4 linked regions of the Lonchura striata genome follow. The protein of the gene in region 1 purifies or fractionates together with the protein of each later gene. This does not show direct contact. Links are inferred from orthologs where the notes say so. Each region holds a gene or a part of one and is shown on either strand. Other genes may lie near its edges.

Evidence for each region.
Region 2: the proteins of RHOD (region 1) and PLXNB2 purify together in Homo sapiens (affinity purification with mass spectrometry; 3 studies listed by BioGRID and IntAct, counting the BioPlex papers as one, with this or other methods). This does not show direct contact. The link is inferred for Lonchura striata from reciprocal best matches to the Homo sapiens genes RHOD and PLXNB2.
Region 3: the proteins of RHOD (region 1) and DIAPH2 purify together in Homo sapiens (co-immunoprecipitation; 3 studies listed by BioGRID and IntAct, with this or other methods). This does not show direct contact. The link is inferred for Lonchura striata from reciprocal best matches to the Homo sapiens genes RHOD and DIAPH2.
Region 4: the proteins of RHOD (region 1) and DAAM1 purify together in Homo sapiens (affinity purification with mass spectrometry; 3 studies listed by BioGRID and IntAct, counting the BioPlex papers as one, with this or other methods). This does not show direct contact. The link is inferred for Lonchura striata from reciprocal best matches to the Homo sapiens genes RHOD and DAAM1.

What each region holds. Positions count from the first base shown.
Region 1 is NC_134608.1:53,914,327-53,921,209, reverse strand, and holds RHOD (rho-related GTP-binding protein RhoD), read left to right. Parts: upstream 1-4,740; coding exon 4,741-4,869; intron 4,870-5,332; coding exon 5,333-5,420; intron 5,421-5,637; coding exon 5,638-5,747; intron 5,748-5,833; coding exon 5,834-5,968; intron 5,969-6,080; coding exon 6,081-6,248; 3' UTR 6,249-6,367; downstream 6,368-6,883. Other genes in the region: mas-related G-protein coupled receptor member H-like, read left to right, coding at 1-258; GPR152 (putative G-protein coupled receptor 152), read right to left, coding at 2,062-2,979. UniProt on the Homo sapiens protein: Involved in endosome dynamics. May coordinate membrane transport with the function of the cytoskeleton. Involved in the internalization and trafficking of activated tyrosine kinase receptors such as PDGFRB.
Region 2 is NC_134607.1:30,343,411-30,351,358, reverse strand, and holds the start of PLXNB2 (plexin-B2), read left to right. Parts: upstream 1-4,943; 5' UTR 4,944-5,065; intron 5,066-5,376; exon of another isoform or gene 5,377-5,460; intron 5,461-7,948.
Region 3 is NC_134616.1:1,747,139-1,753,990, reverse strand, and holds the start of DIAPH2 (protein diaphanous homolog 2), read left to right. Parts: upstream 1-3,844; 5' UTR 3,845-3,926; coding exon 3,927-4,043; intron 4,044-6,852. UniProt on the Homo sapiens protein: Could be involved in oogenesis. Involved in the regulation of endosome dynamics.
Region 4 is NC_134608.1:5,141,528-5,149,269, forward strand, and holds the start of DAAM1 (disheveled-associated activator of morphogenesis 1), read left to right. Parts: upstream 1-4,725; 5' UTR 4,726-4,935; intron 4,936-7,742. UniProt on the Homo sapiens protein: Binds to disheveled (Dvl) and Rho, and mediates Wnt-induced Dvl-Rho complex formation. May play a role as a scaffolding protein to recruit Rho-GDP and Rho-GEF, thereby enhancing Rho-GTP formation. Can direct nucleation and elongation of new actin filaments.

The sequences.
Region 1 (6,883 bases):
CTCTTTGCTCTCCCCCTCAGCCTCTGCAATTTCCTGCAACAGCTCGGTTACATCACTGTGTCCTCCGAGGTTGTTATCCTGCTCACCTGCATCCACAGCAGCATCAACCCCTTCATCTACTTCTTGGTGGGGAGGTGCTGGAGGCCCTGCTCTGTGGGGTCCCTCCGGCTCTCCCTCCAGAGGGTGTTTGAGGGGCCAGAAGAAAACACTGCCCACAGAAATGATCCTGCCATGGATACAGCCTTCTCAGCCTGTTGATCCCTTCTACTGCTCTGCTGAAGGACCTTGGTGCAGAGTCGCCTGATTAATAAATAGCCACTGTATCACCTTCCCTGTGGTGCTGTATTCCTGCAGGAGAAGGGAGAGGAGGCAGTGCCAAGGACCATGTGTGAGGGATGCTCTGCAGGGAGCACATTCCCCCTCCCTCACGGGTCCTAGAGCACTGCTCCCCAAACGGATCCTTCCCAACACTGTGATGCCAACATTCCCCCTGGCACCTGGGTCCTGCATCCCACTGAGGTCTAATATCAATAAACAGCACCATGAACCCCGAGATCCTTTGCCCCCTCTCCCAGCGCTTCCCGGCTTCTCCTGACTCCTGCTGCCAGCCGGGAATGTGGCTGGAAGGAAGGGACACACCCATGGCTTGTGCTCCCTGGAGCAACCTTGATCCCCAGTGCCCCGAGCCGGGCTGGCACTGGCACAGCTGGCATGGACAGGATGGACCAGGAGCTCAACATTCCCTGTGAGTGCTCTGTGAGTGTCAAACCAAAGATCTCCCCAGAGATGTTTAGTTTTTAATTTTGTGAGCCAGATGCAAAGGTCTCTCAGCCTGCAGAAATTCCTCCTCTCCACTCCTTTCAGTTGCCCCCTCAGCAGGCTCCGATGGTGCAGCAGCAAGGAGAGGAAGAGGCCGTGGTCCTCAGCACGGCCACCCCCTTCCAGGAGCAGGGTGGCACCTGTGTTTGTCACCATGGGCTCCACGGGGCATCACCCTGCTCCCTGTGGCTTTGCTGAGGTCACCAGCCCCACCACATCCCACACCTTTTCTCCAGCCCCACCACATCCCACACCTTTTCTCCAGCCCCACCACATCCCACACCTTCCCACCAGCTCCATCACATCCCACACCAATCTCCCATCCCACTCCCCATGCAGCCCACCCACCTCCCATCCTTCCCATCTCTCCCAGCCCCATGCCTGAGGCTGCAGTCCCTCCCCACGGGCTGCTCACTCCAAACTGCCTCATACGGTTTTTGGGGACTGTTTCCCTGGGACATTCCCCTCCAGAGCTTCACCCGCGGTGTCCCGCCCCCCAGCCTCCCTTGGAGAGGGACGAGAGGCGACAGCGGGATGGATCCATTAGCGTTTATTGGGGAGAAGGAGCGCGGAATGGCCAGGAGTGGACACACTGCCGGGTGGGGACGGGCTGTCGGGGGAAGGCGGCCCTGGGCGGGGAATTTGGGATGTCAGAGGGGATCGGGAAGGGTCCGGATGCCGGCAATCCCAAAATTTCTCACAGGAGGGCAGCAGAGCCCGACGGATCGCGCTCGGAGCGGCCGGCAGCTGGGAAACCTGCGGGACGGGACAGGACGGGACGGGACGGGACGGGACGGGACGGGACGGGACGGGACGGGATGGGATGGGATGGGATGGGATGGGATGGGATGGGATGGGATGGGATGGGATGGGATGGGATGGGATGGGATGGGATGGGATGGGATGGGATGGGATGGGATGGGATGGGATGGGATGGGATGGGATGGGTACAGTGAACAGGGAAGGGGAGCCGAGATGAGGATGGTTTGGGGATAAGACTGGATTGGGAATGCAGATGGGATGTGGATGCAATGATAGGGATAAGGACGGGGAGAGGGTTAAGGATAGGGATAGACACAACAACACGGATCAGTGGGATGGGAAAAGGGATGGAAAAGCTATGGGATGCATCCTGACTCACAGCTGCAGGAAGATGACCTGCAGGCCTGGCTGGGAGCAAGGGTGGACAGCTGAGCATGAAGCCAGCACGGACAGCACAGCCGGTGGGACCACAGTGGCCTTTCATCTGGACATTGTGGTGATCCCTGTCTCCTCAAAGACCCTCTGGAAGGCGACCTGGAGGGACACGATGGAGCAGTGCCTCCAGCAGCTCCCCACCAAGAAGTAGATGAAGGGGTTGATGCTGCTGTTGATGCAGGCAAGAAGGAAAACCACCTGGGAGGACACAATGGTGTAGCTGAGCTGCTGCAGGAAATTCCAGAGGCTGAGGGGCACTCCAAAGATGAGGAAGAAGAGCACCGTGAGGAAGATAACAATGTAGAGTCTCTTAGGCTGACGTCTCTTGGAGCCACACTGGACCTTGATGAAGAGGATCACATTAGAGATGACCATGGGTGGGGCAAAAATGAGGAAGCTGAGGGCATACATGGAGATGAGAGCCACCCGGCAGTGCTCATGCTCCTGCGACAGGCACAGGGAGGTCACCACGACCACGACAGCGATGGAGAGGCCCCAGAGCACGGCACACACCACCCATGACAGGCGCTGGGGACGGCGGCAGCGGTACCAGAGGGGGAAGAGGATTGAACCACACCTCTCGATGCTGATGGCTGTCAGCAGGTACAGCCCCATGTTGTAGGAGAGCAGCGACAGCAGGAGAAGGGACCTCAGGTACTTCAGGGACACGACAGTGGAGCAGGACACATCCTCCAGCAGGTAGAGCAGGGAGGAGGGGACCATGAAGAGCAGGAAGGTGAAGTCAGCGACGGCCAGGTTGAGGATGTAGACAGTGATGGGGTTCCTGCGGATGTGGAATCCGAGGAGCCAGAGCACAGCCCCATTCCCGGCCAGCCCACAGAGGCAGATGAGCAGTGTGACACCACCTATGGCCACATCGGTGACATCGATCTCACAGAAATCGTCTCCTTCGGTGTCCATCACAGGAGATGAGGGAGGTGGGGAGGTCTGGTTCAGCTCCATGGTGGAAGGTGGGATGTGGTCCCCAGCTGTGGGTCAGGGCAGAGGGGGGTTAGTGGGATGTGACAAGGAGGGGGATCCTGGTGAGGTGGCACAACAGGGCTGGGGACAGGGGGGCTGTGGGATGGCTGGGCGTGAGGTAAGGGCGGAGGGAGGGTTGGATCAATCCAGTCATCCCGATTAAGGACAACTATGGGAGCGGTGAGAGGGGCTTTGGGGACATCCAGGGAGAAACAAGCAGTGCCCAGGGCTGGACTCTGGTCCCAGCCCCCTACCTTTCTTTGGGGCCAACCTGTTGGTGTGTCCGAGCAGGGCAAGCTCCCTCCTTCCGGTGCTTCTTGCCACGGTCTTCTCCAGTGCGGAAAACTGGGGTCTCCACGTCCTCAGAAGCTCCAAGCAGCCTATTTGTCCCCAAATAAAGCTGCTTTTTGGGGCGTTTCTGCACAATCACGGGTCAAACACTGAGAGCACTGGGCAGCTACACACAGGCTGCCTCTTCTCCCGTCAAAATTCTGTTTTGCGGGAAAGGAAATGTTTTGTCCGAGCAAATACCCAGAGGACAAACACTGCAGCAGTTACATCTCACTTTGAAAGAATCTTGATGCTTTTAGGATTCAACCTGATATCTCATTAGACTGGTAATTGCCACCTTCCTAATTGTTTGATGTTGCTCCAGCCTCCTCTCCCCATGCTGCCCCGATGCTGGCATCCTTCTGAGATTGTTCATTACTGCATCTGTGCATTTTTCTCCCAGCCTCCCAGCATGAGAATCCCTCTCCTCCGATTCATCCTGCACCAGGCCTGGGGGAGAGTTTGGAATTTGTTGCCTGAGCCATCACTTTGGATTCACTCCAGTTGGTCTGGGGGCTCCAGAGCCCTCCTGGACTGGCTGGTACCCACTGAGAGAACCTGGAGAGGCTGGTGGCAGATGGGGGAATGGCAGGGGACCGCACACACGACCCCACATCCCTCCCTGCAACCCCACACCAGAAGCACCCATTCAGCCCCACCAAAGTTTTGGGGTGGCAGAAGAGGGGAGAGGGTCTTGGGGACATCCCAACAGGGGCATGGGGGACATCACTGCTGGGATGGCATGTCCCCGAGCAAGGCAGTGTGTCACAGCCTGTCCCACCCGTGTTGGGATCACTAGGAAAAGACAGGAGCAGGTGTGGCTGAGCTGGGTGCCAGGGACAGAGACTCCAGCATGGCACAGCACGGGTGTGACAGCAGGGGTGGCAGTGACAGCGGGGCCAGGGCAGTGAGTCACCCCCCACCGGTGCCTCACTCCACCCCTGGACTTTGCCTCCTGCGGATGCTCAGGGCAATAAATCCCAGGCTGGGAGGCGGGAACGGGGCGTCGGGGAGGGCACAGGGGTCCCGTCCCTGGGGGCTGCGCTGTGCAGGGGGATCTGCACGAGCAGGGCTGGGATGGGGAGTGGCATCAGGAGCGGGATGGGGATCAGAGTGTGCCAGAGGCAGCGGGCAGCAGTGCGAGGGAGCGTCGCGCAGGCAGGCAGGACACGCAGGTGGCAGCGTGACGCTTCTGCACCGCGAGGCCCTGCCGGGAGAAGGTCACCCGTGTGCCAGGACACCTGTACGTGTGTCCCGGCTACTGTCACCGCCGCGGCCCCAGCCCCGCGGCGGGCGGGCCCGGCGGGCGGGTGACAGCCGCACCCTGGAGCGGGCGGGTGCCTCCCGCCTCCCCGTCCCCATCCCTGTCCCCAACGAGGCCACTCGGGCTCCGTGGCCTCAGCGGACGCCCCCATGCAGCGGGAGCGCGGGGAGCAGAGCGCAGGAGCCTCCGAAACCGAGGTCAAGGCTGTCATCGTGGGGGATGGCGGCTGCGGGAAGACGTCGCTGCTGGTGGCCTTCGCCAAAGGGGACTTCCCCAAGGTACCGGGATGCCTGTCCCCTGGTGGGTGGGTGACACTGTCCCTGTGCGGGAGTGGTGACGGGCAAAGGGCGGTGGGACGGACACGGTGGCGGCAGCGGGGCCGTTTGAAGTGGGACATGGGGACATGGGGGTAGCCCAGCCTGGGGCTGATGGGGGCCTGTGACGCCTCTCTCTCTTGGGGAGTCATGGGGAGGAGCAGGGTTTGTCCCTCCGGGAGGGCACATAAGGGACTCAGGGAGTGCAGGGAAGGGGGGCAGCTACAGAGACCCCAGAACCCCTGTCCTGAATCCCCACGTGCCCTGGGATGGGGGACGAGGGTGGGTCCCATCCCACTGCCCCAGGGAGGAAGCACCATTCCCATTCCCTATTTCTCTCCCTGTGCTCTGTTCTGCCCCACTGGGGTCCCCTCTGTCGCTGCCCCCCACAGCTGCCACTGTGACCTGTATCCCTGTCCCCTGCCAGGTCTATGTCCCCACAGTGTTCGAGAAGTACACGGCGTCCCTCCAGGTTGACGGCAAGCCCGTGAAGATCCACCTGTGGGACACAGCAGGTGGGACAGGAGGGCACAGGGCGGGCAGTTGTGCCCCCCACTCTCCCATCCGGGCGTTTTGGGGTGCCCCACACTCGTGGTTATGCCTTGGAGGGGTCTCCCCCTCCAAGGGGTCCCCATGACCATGGGAGAGGGGGGTTAACCCACAGCCATCCCCACAGATGTCACTTTCACTGTCCCAGGCTGGCATGTAATTGTTTCCTTCTCCACCCGGCAGGACAGGAAGACTATGACAGGCTTCGCCCTCTGTCCTACTCAGACGCCAACGTTGTCCTCATGTGCTTTGATGTCACCGACTCCAACAGCTTTGACAACATCCTAACAAAGGTAATGCCACCCCGGGGTGCTGCCTGTCCCCTGTCCCCATCCCTGGGTGGCACGTGCCCATCCCGGGGTGACGTGTCCCCCCACAGTGGTACCCGGAGGTGAACCACTTCTGCAAGGGGGTCCCGGTGCTGCTGGTGGGCTGCAAGACGGACCTGCGGCAGGACCAGGAGGTGCTGCAGAAGCTGAAGGACGGACGGATGCAACCCGTCTCCCGCCAGCAGGTGGGTGTCACTCCCAGTGACACGGCACGGGACAGGACAGGGGTGGTCCCCAGCAGCAGACAGTGCGACAGCAGGGTCCCGTGGCGGGGTCTGACTCTGTGTGTGCCCACAGGGAGAGGCCATGGCCCGGCAGGTCCGCGCCGTGTCCTACATGGAATGCTCGGCCAGGTACCAGGATAACGTCGGGAACATCTTTGTGAGAGCCTGCCATGCCGCCATCAGTGCCGCCCGCCGGAGGCAGCGCAAGGCGGGACCCAGGAGGGTCTGCGTGATCCTCTGAGCCCCCCGGCAAGGCACAGCCCCCCGGGATCTCCTGCTGTCCCCGAGCTCCGACCGCACCACGCCTGCTGCCGCACCTCTGCCTCCGCCACCACCGGAATGCCGCTGCCACCCTCCCGACCGGGGTTGGCACGGCTGGTCACCACGGGGGGACAGCAGGAAAGCTTTCCTTGGCACGAACTGTCACGCCTGGATCCCAGAGACCTGTGCCACCACGGCTGCCAGCATGCCCTGCCAGCCGGGCTCTGGGGGCAGAGAACTGATTTGGGGCTCCCCTTCCCGCTGGCAGGCCAGTGCCGGAGGGTGGCGCGGGGTGACTGCAGGGTGATCTTCTGCCATTAAAGTGACACAAAACTCATCGGCGTGAAGGGTCCCTGGGGCAGGAGCAGCCCCTGCACGGCCTGGGGACAGCAGGGACTCCGGGCGGGCGTCAGGGACATGTTGGGGTCCCACCATGGGCCCCGGATGGATGAGAGACCACTGGGATGGGGTCACCTGCTCATTTTGGGTTGAGGTGTATGTGAGCATGTCCAGGTATGTCCTGCACATACAGGTCTACAACCTTATATATAGTTATATATATATGTTTATATATATATATTACCATACAATGTATACCTAACTATATAGCTGCTT
Region 2 (7,948 bases), on another chromosome or scaffold:
CCGGTTTATATACATACAGATGTGTGTGTATGTGTGTTTGTGAAGGGCTTATTTAAACAACAAAAGAAGGGAATGAAATGGCAAGGCCTTTTCTATTTCTTATTTGTTGTTAATATTTTATATTAATTCTCATTTTACCTACTTTTGAAATACCAATAAACTTCCTGATGGAAAATCTTAAAAATTTTAATTATTATAAGTTTTTTTAAATTGAAATGTCTTCAAAAATTCAAGATCACTTTAAAAAATGCAAGCATTGCCTATATGAACCTCTTCATTAACCAAGGATCTCTTATCAGGCTCACACACAGCCAGGTGCAACCAGGGCAATGTCAGAACATCTAGTCTTGACTGCAAGGGCTGATACTTGTAATAGTTATGCATATGCATACAGCTACTGCACATATCCATATAAGGCTTTCTCTGGATTCCACCTGGAAATTGTATCCAGAGCACCTGCTGCTTTTTTATCTCATACCTTTGTGCAACAATTTATATCTATAAAAAGTATATGTAAAACTAAAAGAAAAATTTTGACGAGGTAGAATTTTGCACAGGAGTAAACAAATGTATCAAGTGAGTGTTGGTTAAGAAATACCAAAACCCACTTGCTCTGGGTGGATCAAATATTTTCTAGCATCAAAGGAAAAAAAAAACATGAAGGGAATTGCACAGTTAACCTTAGCTAATTTCACCCCTAAACATTTTTTTTTCTGGATTGTTGGAAAATGGACACTGAGAAATCCATCAAGCAAAGAATAACCCCAGATATTTACAAATTGATCTGCCATGTGAGCTTGGTGCAAAGGGCATGAAAATCAGGCTGTGCACAGTGACATTTCACAAATCTAATAATAACACCTTAGATTTATCTGGCATTTTTATACAGAAAAAGTAGATCCCATGGTGATTTATGGACTGTAAAAATATAAATATGTATATTTGGGTTTTTTCAGTCACTAGGAGAAGATGCAATGCCCTCTCCAAACCAGAGACATCAAATGGAGAGTGAAAAATCCTTACAGATGCTCTGTTTATATCTTTGCCATGAGACTAAACCCATTCAGGTAGTATCCTAGTTCTTGTGGTTTTTTGCTTTCCCATTATTGATAAAAATTTCTTACAAAGGATGGTGGCAGCAGGAGTGCTAGGGCAGGCTGAATCTCAATGGTTGCCCAGTACAGCTGATGAATTGCTGCTTAATGAAGAATATTTTTTTCCCCCTTTCTTCCCCCTCACCCGTCAGAAGAGAGTTGAGACATGGGACATCCCCAAGCAGGATGTAATTTCCGTGCAATTTTGAAAATTGCACAGAAAGTGCAATTTCCAAAACTTTAGAAAGGATTTTATGTTCTTTTTTAGCTGTTTTGGTTGCTCCCAGGTTATCTCCATGACCACAGGGCAACAGCCTTCCTTCCTAAAGACTGATAATCAATCATCTGACTCTTTATCTGCCCATCAGCCCCTCATAAAAATGTCAGAACACATTGGCTAGCTGCAAACAAATGAATAAAAGAGGTAGGAACCTCAAAGATAATTAAGTTCCTAGGGATTTGTGAGCATCAGCGACTAGAGGCTCAAATTAGTGTTCCAGCAGGGAGAGGTGAAGGCGGAGCGGGGCCGCTCGGGGCGGTGCTCGGCAGCAGCCGCGGCCCGGCGCGGCGCGGCGCGGGCAGCACGCGGCGCTCCGGACCGCAGAGAGGAGCGCTTCACCTCGGACACGGAACACAAACGGGAGACCAGCCCATCGCAGCGGGTGGGTCAGCGACGAGACCACAGGAAACCTGGCTTCATTAGCTCTGTTGATCATGGAACAAGGTGTTTTTTAATGATAGCAGCTGAAAATTCCGCTCTTTTCCACAGGCCTTGAAGGTCTCAGCAGTAGGAACGATTCCATCTATGGCTGCATCTTGGAAAAGATTCAGAACCGACGGCACAAAGAAGAGAAGCAGGCAGGGAAGAGGCACAGGTGTCACCTTCAGTGCAAAAGAAAATAACATGCAGAAAAAAAAAAAAGAAAAAAATCATGAGGATACACGTAACAACAAATGGGTGATAACAAAGAAAGGAGAGACAGACGGGATGCAGAAGAAGGAAATAAAGAGGAAATTGAAATCTAGACTAGAGTTCTATTCAAACACAGCTCTGTCATCTGTGTCCTGAAGCTGGAGAGGGAGGGAACAAAGCATTCTGCCCTGAGTCACACCCTGTGCATGTGCATGACTGCAGTGAAGATCCCCAGGAGTCTGGGAAGCTGTTAATCATTCAGTCCTTTACTTGTTGCCCTTCTCTAAGCATCTCCGCATTTAGGATTTGATGTGACCTCTTTTCTTCTTTTTCTTTTTTGTTGGATAATGCTAAGGGAGGGAATCAATCTTTCAGTCACAAATAGCAGGTTTTGATGTGCAGCTGTTTATCTAGGTTCACTGGAGAATATCTCCCTGTATCCCTTCTCCATGGGTCAGAAGGATGGTGTGCTGGTTGCAAGAAAAGGAAGTGCAGAAGACCATCTTTGCAAGTGGACCAAGTGCTGAATTCAGCATGGACTTCACTAACCATAGTGCTGTGGTGCACATTTTTGTCCCAGCTGGCAGAAGTGCAAGTCAATATGCCACACTGCTGCTTAGGACATCCAAATGTGCCTGGCAGAACAGCAGCTTATGGAGGGTTAGCAAAGAAGATGGCTATCCTGGGGTGGGATGCTGTGTGGCCACCTCAAGATCTAGATCAGTTTCATAATCCCGGTCACACTTGCAAGGTCAGGTGCACAGCAAGGGATTGTTAGGAGCTGCCCTTCCTTTGAATTAAAAAAAAAAAATAAAAATTGTCAGGAGGCCAGAGCAACAGGAGCTGAACAGGAGCAGGAGGAAACTATTCTGGCGAGAAGATGTGTTGTGAGCTGGGAGGGGGGCAAGGCTTAGATTTAACTTGGCTACAGTCACCTTGAGACAGCAAAAGTGTGGCAAGTACAGTCCTGGTCAGTGGTCATCAGATGGAGCAGATGTGGGGTTTTCCCCAGAGTAGGGAAAGCAGATCATTAGGTTTGGAGCAGGCAGGGTAGGGGGAGGAGTGACAGAGACCCCAGCAAAAGGCCCTGGGGCAGAGCATGATGGAAGGCAGAGATTCACTGCCCTGGGCACAAAGAGAGCTGCCAGGCTGGTAATTCCAGGGCATTCTGCCAAAACTTAGGGTACAATCTGGCCAGAAGCCCAGATGTTGTGAAAGCAGCCTGGAAAGTCAGGTGTTACCAAGCCCATTAGCAGCCTGTGAGTTTCTCCTTACTGGATTCCTCACAAGAATTGCAGGACATGACTAATTCACTTTTCCTAGGGAAGTCCCATCTCCCTCTTCAGATTCCCTCTCTCCTTTCCAGTAAGTGAAGAGGTACAGAAGGGGAATCCAGACCTTCTGAAACACTAGACCTGTTCTTTCTTATCTTGCAGTGACTAAGCCCAGTCAGGTGAAGAGCAGGAAGGAAGCCAATAAAAAAGGACAAGGGCCTTCTGGTGGAGGTTAGCACAATAACTGGGCCAGACTGGCAAAATTCACCCAGCACAGCCTGCCTCCCCTGTGCAAGCCCAAAGGGAAAACCCCACAAAATTCTATGGCATGTTTGAATAGTCCCAACCCACTGTTAAGTCTGCAGTGGCACTTTGCACAGACAGGGTCTGAAAGCCACTTTTAACATCTCTTCCAAAAGTGCAACTATTCTTGCCCAGGGTTTTGGAGCTGTTTTTTATTTATTTTGTATCTCTTGCTGTTTTGAGATGCAAAGGTAACTTTTCAGCAACTTCCTGTTTGGGAAGCACGGCGTATAGACCGGCTGTCTCCTGGTGTTTTAGTAGGGAGCACAACGCACACAGCATTTAATGAAGCTGCACTCAAAGTGCCAAGAGCAGTAAATTCATTTCTCCTTGAAACATTGCTGGTCCACATTTCACTGATGGAAAGTTACAAAGTATAAACATCCTGACCAAAGCTTACCTGAGCCATTCTTCTAAGACATCCCTCCTTTCAATAGATTGTCTCTACATTAGCTATAGTTGAGACAAATTTAACATCTGAACGTGCAGATGATGATGCTATAGCACAGTGATGCTGCGTTCACAACAGGTGGGAAGTGAGCTCTGCAGTAACTGTTGATCTGTTTCTGGGGGAAGGCATGAAAACTTTGCACACAGGCTTTTTAGTAGAGTGCTTGAGCAGAGAGAGAACGTGCAGAAATTGTTTTTGCAGAGGATTTACCTATAGGGATAAACCCTAGAGTACTTCGAGTTCAGTAAAAGTGATGCCAGTGACATATTCTGGGCCCCTCATCGATAAGGGTGTACAAGAAGGGAGGAAGCCACTGGGTGCTCAGAGACTCTGCTCGGGGGATAAGGGATGGGAATTACAATGTGCCTTCGTGTTCAGGAGCGTCCCCAGAACACCACCGGGATCCGACAGGTCCCGCAAGGCTGTTAGGTACAGAGCAGCAGGCAGCCCCTTTCCCAGCGGTACCGCCGTCCCGCCGGAGAGCGCCGCGGAGGCCGAGCGCCGACCCCGGCCGCGGGCAGAGGCTGCCCAGAGGCAGTTCCCGGCCGTCCCGCCGCTCCCCGCTGTTCACCCCGAGGGCCCCCGGGCGGCCGGGGCTCGGTGCCCCCGGCGCTGGAGCTGCAGCTCCCGGCCTGGCCCCGGTCCCCCGTTGGGGCTCGGAGCCCCCCCGGTTCTCCGGGAGCATTCGGCCCCGCTTCGCCGAGCTGGCCTCTGCCTGGCTGGCGGGCAAAACAAAGCGGAGACAGGGAAAGGAAAACGGGGAGAAAGTGCGGCTCCTGCCGCCTCCCAGCCTTCTGCCTGGATCTCCCTGCATGAGACAGCGCTGCAAGCGGATCCTGACCGGGGGCAGGGGGTGGAGAGAGGAGAAGGAGGAGGACGGACAGAGGGAGGGAGGGAGAAAGAGAGGGAGGGAGGGAGAAAGGGAGGGAGGGAAGGAGGGACGAACGGGAGCCTCTCTCCTTCCCTGGGCTGTTTTTTTCAGTTTCCTGTCTCGCATTGTGCTCACAGCGGATATGTGCTGCGCCTACAGGTGTGTCCCCTCCTCGCAGCTTTTCCCCGGCTCCCAAGCGTAGGCTCTGGCTGTCGGGGCGCGGCGGCGGATCGTGACCGCCGTGTGATGATTATTTCTCTCGGGGCGGTTTCTCTCTCCTCTCGCTCTCTGCTTCCCCCTCCCTCGCTCCCCGCCGCTCTCGTCCTTCCTCTCGGAGGTGGCCGCAGCCGCTGCCGCCTTCGCGCTGACTCCGGCCGCGGTGGCGGCGGCGGCGGGGCCCGCCGGGAGCATGGGCGGCCGCCGGGGGCTGCCGTAGCGCCTCTGTCCAGCCCACCGCCGCCCGCCGGGGGCTGCCGGGGCCGCGGCTGCCGCTCGGGCAGCTCGGACGGTCCGCGCCCGCGGCTGCCTCCCGCCGGCGCCTGCACCTGTTGAAGGTAACGCAGCCCCAGCCCTGCCGCCGCGCCGCGGGATGGGGCGGGGAGGGGGGGAGGCGGATTCCACGGAGACTTCCCTCTGTCTCCCCCAGCTCGGGAGCTGCTGAGTTGTGGCTAGAGCAGCTTCTCTCCTCCTCGGCTGCGGGGCCAGGGCCGGGGATAAGCTGAGAGCTGGGGCGGATGGGGCTTTCTACCGCGCTGCCCGCGACCAGATGGTTTTGGTTAAAGGGGCTCCCGGGCGGCGGCTCTGGACTCGGAGCGCCTTTCTCAGCCGCCGTGCAGGGCGGGGAGGTGGGGGAGGCGCGGGGAATCTGCTCCTCCCGGCCGGCAGCCGGGGAGCGCCGGTGTCCGGCGAGCTCCCTCCGCCCCACTCGATGGAGCCTGGCTGCTCTTCCCGGGAGTTTCGCAACCCCGAAGCGGCCGGGGTCAGCAGCCCCGATGTCGCGGCTGGCACTGGCCCGGCGCCCACCCCGCGCTCCGCCTGGGCGCTGCCGACTCGGGAACTCGTTTGGGATTTTCCTGCAAACGCATTTTGTCTCTTCGCAGAGGCAGCTTTAAACTTTCTTTCCAAACTGTTAATTAGATACACTGTACTTTGCTCATGTTCCGTGGAGGCGAATGGGAGTGCGAGGCTGGAAAGGCTTGTGACTCAAGGCATAGTTATTCGGGAGGTGCAGAACATCTTTGCGTGCTGCGTTCAGATGGGCTGTACCTGTAATTTGTGACTTTGCCTTCTCCGAGATTTCGTCGGTCTTGGTGACATCGGGAGGCAGAAGGGATAGTTAACACTTTGGGTCCTTTCGAGGTTAATCAGACACTCGGTTGAATATACAAAGGAGGAAGTGTATCTTTATCTCCTCTCTGATGGAAAATAATATTGCTTTTCTCTATGAGTAACAACACTATGGTCCTGTCTTTATTGCTGAGCTCGTCATCAAATGATAACTTGCTCGTAAAGGAACTTACGCTTTTGGAATGAAGGCTGTTACCTTGAATGTGATGATGAGCTTATTGAACACCAGAGGGAACTCTGAATAGGTAATTCATTCGAGGGAGATATATGCTTATTTTACTGTTTATGTTCTCATTACAATGGAATCTAGGAGGAAGTAAAGGTTGGTAAGTAATGAGCTGCTGGTATGTACCTAGGATTGACTTCAGTTTTCTTAACAGTTCTTTTCAGAAGACATCGATTCTAAATCTGGCCTGAAAAAAAATCTTCTTTTTTTCTTTCTTTCTTCCTTTCTTTTTTTTTTTTTTTTTTTTTTTTTCCCTCCAAAGCTTAAAATGTGCAACTGGTCTTGCAACAACTATGTACCATGCTATATGCAAATCAGCTGGGAGACCTGTTCACTATTTGCTAGGGAGTGAGATTATACATGCATGTTGGGCTGATGCTTAATGCCCTGCCTGCCTCTCAGGTTGTGAGACAGATCCAACACACCTGGGTACAGGGGCTGCTGCCTACAGTCGATATACAAGAATAGAATATGCTTCCAGCCAAAACAAAAGGGAGGAAGGAAGGAAGTCTACTTCCAAGTAGCCTGTCTTGTCCTCCTTACCTAGAACACTTGTGGATCTAAAGCCTAGTCTGATTGCCTGTGAAGTAGAAAATAGTCTTTCTTAAAAGATATGACTTTAACAAATACAGAAATGAAATGGTGTCAGTGTTTAGGAAAGGAGTTTGAATGGTGGCTTCTGGTACCAAAAGCTGTTTAAATCATTTGAGATTATTGTAAGAAGCTATGGTCAACCTATCAAAATGTGTTTTGTAGTAACATGAACCCCAAAAATTTGCAATTGGCTATTGAGACTTTGGATGCTTGTGATAGTCTGTTACAACAATGTTGATAAACAGTCTTCTTTGATACTCCTGAATTGTCAAAGACATGGGAAGGATAGCACAATGAATACACTTTTGACTCTGACATTTGCTCCAGAAGCTGATGCATTCAGCTGTTCATCCTGTCCCTTTGCCAGAGGTTAGTCGGCCATTCAGGGTTATTTTCTATTTAACTTTGAATCTGAGTTTACAGACAGGCATATGAATGTCAACTATATTTTATGGCTATTCATATTAGTGTTGTGAAGTCTGATAACACAAATCTCCTGTATATCTCTCTGTTGTGACAGAGGGACAAAGCAAACACTTGAGGTCAGTTGAATTGAGCTGCAGTTGTGAAGCATAGTCCATAGGCATCTAAATTCTTCTGAAATAGCAGGTGTGAGCCCAGTGACCTTCCTTGTACCAGACCTTGGTGGGCAGTGGTAGTGGGGAGGCAGCTCTGCATAAGGAGAGGCTGTGTGACCTCCGTTGGTTGGTGAGCAGCACACAAGGTTCTGGGTTTCAGAAGGATGTAGTAGATGGTGTACCTGAACAGCCCTCTCTTCCTCTCCTTCTTCCAGTCTAGCAATCAGAAAGTGATCCAAGTTTTTTTGTTGATTTATCAAAGTCTTTCTTTGTTTATCTGACTTGAGGACTTGTTAT
Region 3 (6,852 bases), on another chromosome or scaffold:
TTGTTTGAGCCTGATGGCCAATCCAACCCACCTGAGGCTGGACTCTGGTCACAAGTTGGGTGAGAGTTAGAGTCAGAGAAAGTATTATGTAGTTTTAGTATCCTCCTTTTATATAGTATATTAATGTATTTTAGCACAGTTATAATAAAGAAATCATTCAGCCTTCTGAATTGAGTCAGACATCCTCATTTCTTCCCATTGGGTTCGCCTGCATTTACGATAGCCAGCCATCCTCAAAGGCGGGTTTCATCAGCTCAGACAGAAAATGATGCACGTTTTGGGGATGCTCAGAATGCCTCATGCTTATCAGTGTCTGATCATTTTGCTGTCAGGTAATTGTGTGATCTCTGTGAGCTGCTGTGCTTGTGTGACTGAATGGGACTGAGATTACACAGAAGGAGAAATGTCAGCACCTACAGAGCAGCAGCTTTTTGGAGTTACACGTTTGCAGTGTTGTGAAATGATATTTGGAATAAATAGTTCTGAAATCCATTCGCTTCAGAGATGAAGCCAAGTTAAGAACAGTTTGTACAACTACTCGTTTCCACCCTCAGGCCACACTGTTGCTCTCGGAGTTGAGCCAAAATGCTGCATTGCAGTGCCTGCCAAAATGAGGTTTGTCTGCCTGCCTTAGGCAGAGTTGTGGTTTTCTGGAAGGTTTTTTGTTTGTTTCGTTTTGGTGTTGAGGGGCTTTTCCCTGTAAATGTCTCCTGATTGGGACAGCTACGTTATTTCTCTTCACTCCTTTTGTTTGGAAGTACCTGCAGAGTTCATATGGTCATAAAGTTCCTTAGTTCATACATGGAATATTTGCTTCTCAGTCCTGGAAACTGGAGTGGGGTGGGGGAAGAACACTAAAATGCAGCAGTATGACTAAAAACATTTTCAAAAACAAACCAAGAGGCTTTAACTTCTGCTGAGGAGGCTGTGAAGTGGATCTAATGACACTTGATCTATGGCAAGCTTTTCAAAAGCAGGTCTCCAGCAAATCCTGGAGCAATGTTTTGTACAACACAGACAATTTTAAGCCACAGCTGAAATCTCCAAATGGAGACTTGCAAAGCATTTGTAAATCAGAGTTAAAAAAATGAAATAACTCTGTTAAGCAAGCAGCTATCTGTCCCAGGAGAGCAGGCAAACCCAGGAAGGAGAACTAAGAGCAGCTGTGGGTTGACTTTTCAGCACATGATGCAGCTGCAGCCTGATGCTTGCACATCTTTTCTCCATCACTCAGACAAGGGTACGTTCATTACAATGTGCCAGCACTGAAACAGCAAATCCCCTGTGATGTTTGCAGTGATGTGTGGTGTCCCCACACCTGCCTTCAGTGCTTTTTTTCATGTTTTGCTCATGTCAAGAATGTGATCTGAGTCTTATTCCATCAAAACTAAATTACCTCAAGGCCTGACTACATTTGCTCAGTTCTCTCGATTTCCCACACGTGCCACTTGCTCTCACTCACACCACAAATTATTTTTGGCATGTTGTGCCAGCTCTCCTGAATCTTTGAGGTCAGTTAGTGTAAAGGTTTTACTGAAGAACAGTTGGCAAGTGCAGTATGAGGAGCATTGTGGCAAATGTAGAAAATCTAAGGACAAAAAGTTCTTGAGCCCTTAAGAGTTATGCTGAACAAACAGTGCTACAGAATTTGGTTTAAAAACTCTTAAATTTGTGCACACAGATGCCAGGCTGTTGGAAATTTTTCTCTGAATGTGGACTGACTGAACTTCATGCCCCAGATATGGGTGCTGCTTAATACACAAAAATAGAGACAGCAGAGAAAACCCAAAATGGTAATTAGAGCTAATTGAAAAGAAGGAAAAAACAGATTTGAGCATTTCTTTTTAACTAACCACTGCTAAACTGTTTCTGTAGAATGATATCCTGTAAACTATAAATGGATGTAGTTGGAAATAACATTACATTGCCTGCCATTGCAAATAAGTGTTTAAGTTAATGATTACTTGATTAATTTAATAATTTCAACTTAGGTATAAGATGGTATCATAAACTATGTCCAAATAATTATTGTTAAAATCATCAGAATGAAAAAAGGATTTATATAGGAAGGAGGAGATGAATCTCAAAGGAAATTTTAGAACAGAGCATCTAGACAGAGCTGGTCTATTTTATAGCCTCCTAACTTCTGCTGCCGATATTCTACTTTGATTTCAAGACACCTGCCAGTTTTAGAGCTGTTATTTATTTCAAAGCTGGTATTGTCAGATTTTACCAGCAGGTTTGCATTGCTGGATTTAAACTGTAAGTATTTCCTCCAGTACTCAGGTAAATCTCAGAGAGTCGCAAGATATGCAGACAGCCCCCTGAATCTCAGGCTTTGCATCACTATGTATTAGACAGAGATCAGAAATTCACTATTCTGTCTTGTTTGCCTTTTGGGACTCTCTCTTAGAGGTCAATAAATGGATAAATTTATATCTGAATGCATTGCCCTTGTCACACCAAAACAACAGATCATGACGTTGTTCATAACTGCTTTCTCAACATAATTTAGCAGGTATCAATTCAGGTATACTAACACAAAATGTTGTATTTTTCTTTAAAAAACTGAGCTGAAGACATCTGTCAACACGATGCCTTTAATCACCAGACGTGTGACCCATGATTTTCCTCTGTCCATGCTCATACAGAGCATCCTGAGGGTCCTTCAGTTCACACAGCGAGGCTCAGCCGAAGGGATTCTGGAATCCACAGAAATGTTTAAGCAATTTTTCATTGCTGCAAGCCATGGGTAGATGAGTCCGATACTGTTGAGCAGGAGAACAGAGAAGCAGCACTGGGGTGCTCTAAGTGGCCTTCCAGAACTGCTGGGAACCTTCACCAAAGACAATTTACAAGAGCACGTAGAGACAGAACACAGGGGAATGGCTTCAAGCTGGAAGAGCAAAGGTTTCTGTGAAAAACGCCAATCAATTGGTTTTTAAAATTTTAAAAGTTTAATAATAATAAAATGGTTATAAAAGTAGTAATACAATTAGAGTAATAAAGTTTAGAGTTAGGACAATTACAAGACAATAAAAAGTAAAGAATTATGGACGTCCAGATGCTCTCGGACACTTAAGTCATGAAAAGCATAACTTGTGAACAAAGGAATAACCTTAAAAGCAATAGCCTGTTGCATGTTCATATATTCTTTATGGTTATGCATACATTCTATTTAAGACAAGAACTCTGTCTGTTGTATGTCAACTGTTTCCTTTAATCCCCAAGGTGAATTTGAGTCTGAGCAAGGCCTGAAGAAATTAGCTTCTTCTGATAAGAAAACCATAAATCCCTTTTCTCTGGAAGATTTAGGTGTTCTTCGAAGCGAGTATCTCATTCCTAAAAAAACCCAAAAAAGCTCCCCCCACATACATAGTCTCTATTTTAACATTATTTTAAAACCTAAAACTAAGAGAATTAATACAGCATAACTTTCTAACATTACACATATTATACTCATTGTAACGTTTGCGAAAAGCCAATCATAAAACACGAATTTTTCACAGTTTCCAGTCGGTATGAGGTAGAAATCCTCGCCTGTGAGGATGGGGCGGCCGCAGGTGCTCTGGGCAGGCTGTGCTGAGGCCGCCGCATCCCGGGCGCGCCCAAGGCGAGGAGAGCCGGGGTTGCGGACACCTGGGCCGGCGGCAGGAGGAGGAGATGCTCTGCACGGCCCCGCGGCCCGGAGCGCCCCTCAGGGCTCCGCCATTTGCTGCGGCCGCGCGCGGGGCGCAGGCGCGCGCCGCCGCGCAGGCGCGGTGCCTCGGGCGGGCCGTGCGCGTGCGCGGCGGGGCAGCGGCGCCGCCCCGGGCGGAGCGGGCGCGGGCGCTGAAGGGGGGGCGGCCCATGGGGCCGGTGCGGCCGTGAGCGCTCGGTTCGGCTCGGTTCGGCCCGGCCCGGTCCGGGGACAGCCCCGCCGAGCCATGGACGGACACGGCGCTCCGGGCGCGGGCGGCGAGGAGCCGCTGAGCTCCGGCAGGATGAACGCCAAGCGCGGCGGGCGCGCCGCGGAAGAGGAGAGCCGGAACAAGCCCAAGCTGGTGAGCGGCGGACGGCCGGGCTCGGGCAGCGGGAGGAGGAGGCGGAGGCGGAGGGAGCGCGGTGCGCCGCTCCCCGCGGGGAGCGAGGGGCGCGGGCAGGCTCCGTGCGGGCTGCGGGGCTCCCGCCGAGGCAGCGCCCCGAGGGCCGGGCCGCGCTGCCGTGCCCGGGCCCTGCGGCTTCGCGGGGTTCCCCCGCTCGGGCGGCGACAGCGACAGCGACAGGGACAGCGCCAGGGACAGGGACAGCGACAGGGACAGCGACAGCGACAGCGACAGGGACAGCGACAGGGACAGCGCCAGCGACAGCGCCAGCGCCAGCGCTGCCCCGCAACCTCTGCCCCGCTCCGCCGCACAGCCGGGGCGCGGCTGCCTCCGGCTGAACAATCCAGAACGCCGCTGGTCAGGATGCCAGCCACGTGCTTGCCAACCTCTCACTTCATGGGAAAATTATTTAGGAAGCTGGGTGGTGCCTTATGGTTTTTAAAAGTAAATCCTTTTTAGGGCTGCAGTTTGTTCGTTATGGATACGCTCTTTGATTTTTTTTTTTTTTTTTTTTTTTTGTACTGGCAGACCTGATAAGTGAAAATACAGGCGGAGTTCAAGGCAGCATCACTGGGTTGTATCACAGTTCATAAATGCTGCAGTAGCAAAACCAGCTAATGTGAAAGTGTTTACCATTATTGTTTACATTTGTTAGTTGCACGTGTTGAATCTGCCCAATTTAGCTCAGTTCTGGGTTGTATTTCCAAGAGCAACACTGTAGCAGGCACTTAAAACACCCCGAGTCTTCTCCTGGGAGAGATTACTAAAGTTGCAAACTTTATTTAACCTGTTGCAAGGGCTTTCCCCGATGCAGGTGAAACTGAGTATTGAAGTTTTCCCACCATGTGTTCCTTTTAGCGAGTATCGAGCTTGCAGATAATTAGCCTGACAACTGCAGTTTGGGTTCTTGTTGTTTGTTTGGGGCTTTCTCTTGTTTTGTTTGTTTTCCTTGTGCTGAGCATGAAGTTAGCGTTTGGGGAAGTTGGTGAATATATAACACTGAGGCATAGAAAAGTTACTGAAAGTTATCCTTGTTTCAGAGGATGACAGTTTCATGAATGACTTGAACTGTGCTTGTATTAAAAGTGACGAAGTGTATCTTGGCAAAAGATAAGCAGATGTGGTGTCTTGTTTTGTTTCATGGTGTTATTGGAAACAAATTCATGTTTCCTTGCATAGGATAAACTTTGTATAAACAATACTTTTGGGTCTGTTTATAGTACCTCTACTATTTCCTGCTAAAGTACTGAAGAAGGCTGCCTGGAGATTCCTGCAGGGAACTGATTCAAAAATCACTCGGGGAAGTGCTTCTGTTGGAAGCTGTGAACATAAATTTGAATTTTGCTCTAGCAGAAGAGAACTCTGTTCTGATAGAAACACATAATTTGAAAAATCAAAGTGAAATGAGCTCAAAATTGGATTGAACAGGATGACTATTTCCACTTCATGGTCTATTCAGCTATTCTAAAATCACTAGAATAAACTTTCATTGTTCCATTGAGTGGGAAAAAAGAACATTATGTTAATATTTGATTTCATTCAGAGCAGTATACTTTTGTTTCTTGAGGGGGTGGATGATTGCAGTCCAGCAGCACCCTGGATCAGAGCAGGGATATGTTGCTCAAATTAGAGCCTTCAGAAAGATAGTTTTGCTCTGTGGGGTAAGTGAATGGTCTTAGATGATATAATTGAGTGAGTGGGTTGAATAGGAAAGCAGATTTTTTTCACTCTGGACATGATGTGCAAAAAATGGTGTATAAACCTGACATGAACTGAGATTTACTTTGAAGGAGTAAGAAGGGTGGGATTCAGGTGTGCTTTCAATTGAGGTGACTGGACAGCCAGATTTATCCATTCCTACCACGGGTTTGTAAGGGAAGAACAAGCCTGTAATCAGGGAAAAGCTTCATCCATTATACAGGAGAGTAATCCTATGACATTTTGCTGCCTTTAATTTGAGTGAGGAATTGCTTCTGGAGCTGGCAGTGTCTTCAGGCACTGGGAGAGCACTCTTAGCTGCACCTCATCGCTGCTCTCTTCTGTGCAAGATAAAGGTGTGTTTGGGACTTGGGGCAGGGAAGCTGTTTGTGCTGTGCTGAGTTGTCACTGAGCTCATATACCAAGTTCCTCACAGCTGGGTGTGGAGATTTCCTTGGTTCATCTCTGTAACTTACAATTCATCGGGTTTCATTGGAGTTACAGAGATGAATCAACCTGCACTCCCTGTCATGTGTTGGGTGTAATTCAGGGAGCTCAGTGTGCTGGCAGGACTGTGCCTCCTCCCAGAACTCATTTCACACGTCAGGGGAGTGCTGAGCAAGGCTTTGCTGGGAGAGGGTGTGCAGCCACACACAGAGGAGAAAGTATTTTAGGTTCCTGGCACAGGAGCTGAAATTAGACAAATCCTTGGGAAGAAGTCCAGAGGAATGATTTTTATGTGATAAAAATGGCTCTAGGTGACAGAGGGCTAGGAACTGAAGTCATTATCCCGAGGGAAGGGAAACTAGAATAGAAAGGTGGAAGTTTTTGATTTCCCTGTTCTCTTCATCTGAAACTAAAAGGTGTGCAGTGCTGCTTGGCCTGCAGAAGTGTAATGGTTTGTCTGGAGGGGGGTTTAAGGGCTGCAGCTTGATCAGTGGCACTTTTTCCTGATGGACAGGAAGTAGGACTGGGCTGTTGAGAGAGAATCTGTGCTGGGAAGGAAAACAATGCTTTAAAGTATTTCTCTGAAAGACAATTGACCATATACACACACAAATAATTAATG
Region 4 (7,742 bases), about 49 Mb from region 1:
GGGTGCTGAGATTTCATCCATTGAGAATTTGCTCTGGTTTTTTTGGGTTGTTTTTTGTGGTTTTTTTTTTGGTTTTTTTTTTTGTATTATTGTTGATTGTTCGGTACCTTTCACAGCAATTCAGTGCAAGTCATCTCTAGGAATAGGGAGGAGAAAAAAGACCTGGGCAAAGTTACAGATCCCTAATCAGGAATGGCTTGTTTTCTAGCCATGAGAGAGTCTAGGGGAGAAGAGATAGAGCCCTCCAGCCACCCTGAACAATACATGTTCCTCCAAACCCAGCATCTGAGGCTGGCACAAGGCTGTGGGTGAAGCCTGGCACTGGCAGGACATTCCAGGGAGGAAGATTGACCCTTGGCTTCAGCAATCAGGAGCTGAGTGTCAGGAGTCTGCCAAAGACACGCCAGGTACCAGCAAGATGATCCAAACCAGAGCATGGCTGCACGTGCAGCATCTCACAGGAGACAGGCAGGAGGATGGATGGCAAGGGAAGCACGAGGGCTTCTGGCAGTTGCAGGGACCAGTGCAGAGGGGATGAAGGCAAGGACAGGAGCACAGAGAGGGGTGGGGTGGAAGGCCCTGACCAAGCTACAGAGATAATTTAAAGCTTCCTACACCCCAGCACACTTACAAGTGCTTTATATCTCTCTGCCACTCATCTGAGCCATCTCTTTCCCACAGGGCATGGAGATCTTTCAGGTGAAGCAGCCAGGAGAGGCTGTGCTCTCCCAGCATCTCCCAGCAGAGTAGGTTTAGACAGGGCAGGGCTGGAGCAAGACCTTGTTATAACTGCTTACAGTAGCTCTCAAAATCTGCTCTCCAATTATGTCTTACATTTTATATTTCTTAGAAAGACCAGCTGGGTGGGCACTGAGCAACTTGGTCTAGTGGAAAATGTCCTTGCCCATAACAGGGGTGCTGGAACTAGATTATCTTTATGATCCCTTCCAACCCAAACCATTCTATGATTCTGTAATATGATTCCATTATTTTACCCTTCTCTGAACACACTGGGAAAGAATTTGGTTGCTTGGGCTCCCAATATCCCCACCTCCACCAAGGTACAGCTCCCTGGTACACCATAAAGCACTTATGTGCATGTGATTAAATGCCACTGAAGCGGATGGGAATTTGCTTACAAGCAAATTACAAATTCCTTACAAGCTTAAGGACTTTGCAAAATCAGGGCCTAAATCCACTGAGTCTTTGCTAATGCTCCCAGCCCGCTGAGTCCTGCTTTGGGAATGTGTCTATTTTCCCTTCTGGGGCTATGAAATGTTATACCAAAGCTTTGCCTCCCCTGCCAGCTGCAGGGAGCTGATGTGAACCCTGGGGTGAGATTGGGCTCGGTGCTGTTGGAGATAACATTGGTTTAGGGTGTGGTTTGTTTCCACACAGAACATCCCAGCCCAGATACAGAACTGCTAAAGGTCTTCTATGTACTCTAAAAACCTCATATCAAGCAACAAAAAGCATAATGCTGTCTCCTACCTTTGAGCCAAAACCAGCCCTGATTGCTGTGATGGAAATATTCCCACAAGCTCCAGTGGTCTGGGATGGTTTTAGGGGCTCAGATGGTGATTTTGTTCTTTTGGTGCAAGTGTTTGGTTTAGATCAGAACAACGATTAAATAAAAGCTGTGGCCTCTATTTCTGCTGAGCATATAATCTGTGCAACGTGAAAGACTATAACCTCGAGAGGGCTTTTTTCCCTCCAAAATCAATTTTACTTAATTTTTGTAAGGGGATGGGTTCCATATTCCATTACTGTCAGCTGAATCAAGTGTCCTTTTAGGTTTCACTGGAACACATAAAAACTCCTCCCCAGAGATAAGGACAGTATTGATCTGACATGGATTGGTCGCAGAGAACATTTATTAGGGTCTAGTGAGCATCTAAAGATGAAGGCTACCAAGTATATTCTTACAGATTTAGAACAAGAAACCCATTTTCTTTCCCTCAGCTCTGAGAAAGTCCTGGTTTAGTTTTTCATCCAAGGAGCAAACCCTGCTAACCCCCTCCTGTTACAAGGATTATTTTCCAAGCAGGCTTGGTACCCATGCTCTCCCCTTTTCAGGGCTGGATGCTCATCAGTCTTACACGATGACTATTGCATGTGTCCTACTTATCCAGAAAGGCTATGGGCAGCTGGTTATTGGGTTTTCCTGTCTGAATAGAGGAGCTTAATTTAATAGGCGGCTGTTGGAAAAACAAGCAGGAAAGCAACACAATGGGGCTTGATAAGCGGCATCCAAACAAGCTCTGAGGAGGCAGCTACAAGAAAATGGCTGAGCAGTTTTGATGAGGAAGATGCAATTCCAGATGCCAACCATTAAGCTGATACTTAGCCAGGCTGGGAGCCTTGCAGATCAAACCATCACTATGTGGTTAATGAAAGTCCTTGAGGAGGAAAAGAGTGGGAGAAGGGGGGTCCTGGGAAGGCATTTTATGGAGAAAAATAAGATGAATGGAAGGGCAAAAGAAAAGCTGTGCTGGGATGGAGGCAGGGACCATTCTGCTCAGCATCCTCTCATAGCCAATGGTGTATGATAAGCCAGGGGTATGAGAAGTGTTCAGGGATATTTTCCCATAAACTCTCCAAGTCCACAGCAGGCTGCATGCAGCTCCAGGACTTCCTGAGCCTGAGGCTTGTATAGAAATACTGGATTGAATAGTCCTGGCCTAACCCTTTACCTCAGCGAAAAATGCTCCCTATCTTTGATCACTAGTTCTTTGGTGAGAACAGAGGCCAAAGCTGCTCACAGTATTCAAGAGGAGAGCAAACCAGGAATTTGTACAGCAGTTTTTCCTCTTACCTCATTAACTCCTATCTGTCTATTTGCTTTCTTGACTGCTGCTCAGCAGTGAGCTGATGCTTTCAACAAATTCCTTGTTATAACCTGGGATCCTTTTCCTGAGGGGTTGCAGTCAGTTCAGAGCCTGTTGCCATGTGCATGATGTTAGGAGTGCTCCCTGTGAGGCTCATCACTTACATTTGTCTCCGGAGAATTTAATTTGTCATTTTGTCACTGCACGTCCCGAGGTCCCGCTGTGGTTTGGTGCCTTGGGCCTTTCCAAGCAGCTCAGTGTCACCAGAAGCCACCACCACCATGTCCCCTACTCCTACATCACTGATGAAGATGCTGAGCACAGGCCCCCTGCTCAGAGCTCTGTGAAACTCCCCACCTCATAGCTCCAGTGCAGACTGACCATCCCAGTCTGGCCTTTGTGGTTTCTGCCTATAAACCACTGAGGTTTTTTTCATGGCTCCTTACTCCCCTCAGTATGTTTTGATGAAGGATTTTGTCAGAGCCTTTAAGAAATCAATATCTCTTATATCCATTAGATCTACCACATATTTGGCTCCATCAAGGACTGTGGTAGATTTTGTGAGTTATAATTCCTCTTGCCAAAACTTGTGCCTGGGTACAGATATTTGTCCTCTTGTCCCACCAGTTTCACAACACCATCATTGCATTTGCTGCTCCAGATAACCTGCCCTTGACACCTTTTATCCCAAAACTGCTTCTGTGATTGCTTCAACACCCAAAGGGCAAGAAATCAAGCAAGGCAGGCTGGAGACCAGCGTGGCTGAGCAGAGACCTGCTCCTCAAATTGAGGAGTGAGAAGCAAATGCTCAGCCAATGGAAGCAGGGACAGGTGACCTAGGAAGAGTACAGGGATATGATTTTGATGTTTAAGGATGGGGTCAGGAAAGCTAAGGCACAAATGGAAAAGGCCAAGGAGAACCTGGTATAGTGGAAGGTGTCCCTGACCATGACAGGAGGGTTGGAACAATATGATCTTGAAGGTCCCTTCCAACCCAAGCCGTTCTGTGATTCTGTTAATTTTACACCACATTTTGGTATCAACTCTATGGATGCTTTCTTTACTTTCCCAACACTGGCTTCTCCTTTGTCCCTGCATCAATTTTTGTGCAGACTCCATATGAAACACAATCACAGTAAATCTCTTCCTGCTTTTCAGACCTTCCCATATAGTTGTTGCCAAGAAAGAAAAAAAAAAAATATTCAAGATGTAAATAGCTTGACTTCTTCTCCAAAAAAAAAAAAAAAAAAAAGAAAAAAGTTTACTTAAGGTAAAATGTTCCACGCTATTAATTTGATCTGAGTTTTGATTTGCACCAAGAACACTAACTGCTCCTTCTTCCATCTCATACAGCGAGGTTATTCCCATGCATGTGGGAATCCAACCGTGTATCCAATTGCTGCTCTGATTCACGTGAAATGGGAACCTCTGGAAAATTGATTTCTTAAATCCAAGCGGAGACTGCCGCATCTTGGGAGGCCTCTGCCAGGCAGCTGCGACACAGATCCCGCGTGTCCGTGTCGCCAGCCGGCTGAAACTTTATCCTCGCCGCTCGGCGGGAGCGGGACCCTCCCGCCTGCCCCCCGCCTGCTCTGCAGCACGGGCAGCGCGGAGCGTCCCGCTGCGGTGTCCTTGGAGCGGTGCCCTCGGCGCGGTACCGCCGGTGCCGTACAGCCTTTGCGGCACCCCCAGCACCGTACCCTCGGTGCTGTACCGCCGGTAGCGCCGCCGGGGCGGTACCCCCGGCAGGGCACCGCCGGTGGCGGAGCCCCCGCCCCGCGCGTCACCGCGAGTCCCGGCGGCGGGCGGGCGCTGACGCCAGCGCGCCGGGCGGGGCGGGCGCGGCCCATTGTGGGCAGGGGCCGGGCGGGCTCCGCGCCGCGCAGCGCAGCGCCGCGCCGGCAGGTACGGCGGGCGGGCAGCGAGCCCTCCGCCCCGGCAGGAACGGCGGGCACAGAGCCCTCCGCCCCGGCAGGAACGGCGGGCAGCGGGCAGCGAGCCCTCCGCCCCGGCAGGAACGGCGGGCACAGAGCCCTCCGCCCCGGCAGGAACGGCGGGCAGCGGGCACACAGCTCTCCGCCCCGGCAGGAACGGCGGCCGCGCTGCGGTGAGTGCTCCGAGCCCCTCGGCGCTCCTCCCTTTCGCTTTGCGGGGCTTTCGGCGGAGTGTGTTGCCCTTCTCCCGTAGCCCGCGGCCGTGCTGCGGAGGGGTTCGGGAGCACCGGGAGCCGGCGCTTTTCTGCCTTTTCCTCGCCGTGGGGAGGGAGGCGAGCCCGCGTCCCACCCCGCCCCGGGCGCTGCGTGGAGCTGTTGCCCCGGGGGGAGCGCCCGGGCCCCGCGGAGCCCGCTCCGCTGCCGGCGCCCCGGAGCACGGCGGGTCCCCCGGAGCACGGCGTGTCCCCCGGAGCACGGCGGGTCCCCCGGAGCACGGCGGGTCCCCCGGAGCACGGCGGGTCCCGGGCGGTGCCCAGCCCCGTGGGCGCCGGGCAGGGGGCGCCCAGGCGGGGGCGTGGGATGCGGGATGCTGCTGCTGCGCTGCCTTCTCCATGGCAACGCCTCCGGAGGCTGCTGCATCCCCGGCGCCGGCTGGCACGGCGGCTCCCACCCCTGCGGCGACTCCCACACCACCGGTGTGACCCCCCTGGTGGGGCTCCCGCGGGCTTTGGGGAATCTCAGCTTCGTGAGTGCCTCCCCACAGGCACGGCTGTTCGGGGCTGCCCCATCATCTGTGTGTGCCAAGCCTCTGGTGCTGGTGTCACACATTTTGCTGCAGGCGTGCTCTTGTCCGGCCGATGCTTTGATGTGGGAGTAGGATTTTGGCATGTGCCGGTGTTGGGCTATGGCTTGGCTACAAGCATGTGTATGGCTCAGGCACCAGGTGAGGAGGTCCGGTCTGTCACTGGCTGCACCCGCCCAGAAATTCTGGGAGGGAAGATTCTGGTCAGGGGTCTCCCTGGAGGAGGGACAATGCTCCTGCTGCATGGAGCCTTGAGGGTTGGCTGCCATTGCTGTGCTGTGGCTGTGGTCGGATCCTGGTGTTTTACTTGGCATGTAGTCTTCAGTGTGACCAGTGGGGTTTGGTCCCTGGGGTCTGCAACCCTCATGGCTTTCACACCACGCTGCCTCTTGCATTGGTGCTGGTGTGAAACAGTCTTTCTGCATCTTTAAGTGATCAAGGTTAATTTAAGGCACAGACAGATGATAATGTGACAATAATGTGTCAAAAGCCACGTGAACCGACAGGGCTGTGCTTGCCAAACTGGGGGCAAGGGGCTCCCCGTGGAAATCGGAGGCAGGTGGAAGATCATGGGGTGCAGCCAAGTCTCCTTTTGCAGGTGCTGGGGAGAGGGCAGTCCATGGCACAGGCTGTCCTTGTGGTTTTGACCAGGCCTGAGCACTGCAGATGCCCGGCATTGTACAGCCAGGCAGCTTCTCCTGGCTGCATGGAGAAGGAGAAGCCATTGGTTTTCTTTTCTCCCTCTCTAGAGGTTGATTCTGATACTGTGTACAAAATCAAGTGCTGGTGTGTATTAATGCCTCAGTGGTCAACCGTAGTGCAACCTCATTATCCTCCCTTGCCAAAAACCAAAACCAATGTATTCCAAAGCTATTGGCATTCCCTGCCTGCCCCTCTTTGAGTCCCATTAGGAGTAGATGTGTCCTGCAGCATCTGGACCTCTTTCCACGAGCACTGGAGTTTGTTTTGGCGTGCGTTTCCCCCCAAACCCGCAGGTCAGACATCCACCTTGCTGTTCCTGGATTAATGAGTGACTCACCCTGCTCTCCCCATGGCCATATGCTGGGACCTGCCCTGCTCTGTCAGGAGCAGGAAGCAAAAGCCAAAGTCCGCGATCTCTGACCGCCCAGTGTGGTGTGACACCGGGACAGGAGGAAGCAGTGACACTTCCTGGCTCTGGCCAGCGCTCAGCTGGTGTGTGGCTCTGCCGGTGCTGCCCTGACACGGCCCTGGGATTTTTGGGTCCAGCCAGCCAGGCGTGCACCCTGCTCTATGTACTGGCCTCTGCCCCGGGGAGGCAAACAGGATGGGTGAGGTGTAAAATCAGCGCTGAATCCGCTCCCCTGGGCTTGAAACGGAGTCAAACCGGTCTTGACCTGAGCTGGCTCCTTATCTGACCCTTTGTTTGTGGCAGGGGTGCAAGAGGGAGCAGGAACGGTGAGGACAGGCCAGACCAGGGGACAGCTGGTCTAACTGGATTGTGATTATCTCCCTTTGCTTCTGTGCTTTGTTTTGGTTCCTTCCTCCAGTTTTCCCGCGCTGTCATGTCACAGCTGAGGAGCCCAAGGCAGTGGGGACATGGAGCTGTGGGGCAGCTGGGCTTCCCACAAATTTTGTTTGTCAGCCAGCCAGCAGCATAGCTCCTCTTGCTCCATCTTCCTGCTTTCAAGTTTCCATGCATGACCATCCCTGCTGGGTCCATCCCTAAAGGGGGATGCACTTGGAGCAGCCCACCACGTGCCCAGGTTGCACAGTGGTGCATTTACAACCTGAACGGGTTGTGTGGGGATCCTGACAGATGTACCACCCAGAGTGAGTGGTCTGCCCATCCTCCTCCTGCACAGACACCCACTGAGCTGCTCCTACACGGCCACTTTTATCTCTGAAGTATTAATAAAATGAAGCCTGCCTATTTCTGTGAGCCTTTTTAAGAGGCTGGCGGGGCTGCCTGGAAGGCTCGCTCGGCACTGCAACTATTCAGAGCTTTTTTCCGCGTGTGCTCTAGCAGCCGATAAGCCAGGGCATCCAGCTGTCAGCTTTGCAGATTGCCAAAGCCTGCTGAACAGCATTTCTGCAGCCTTCGCTCACAAATGAGGATTTTGTTGGACGCTTTGGTTTCTGACTTGATGCTGGTAATTAAATATCTTAACTTGGCTTCAGAAAGCTGCCACTGCTGTG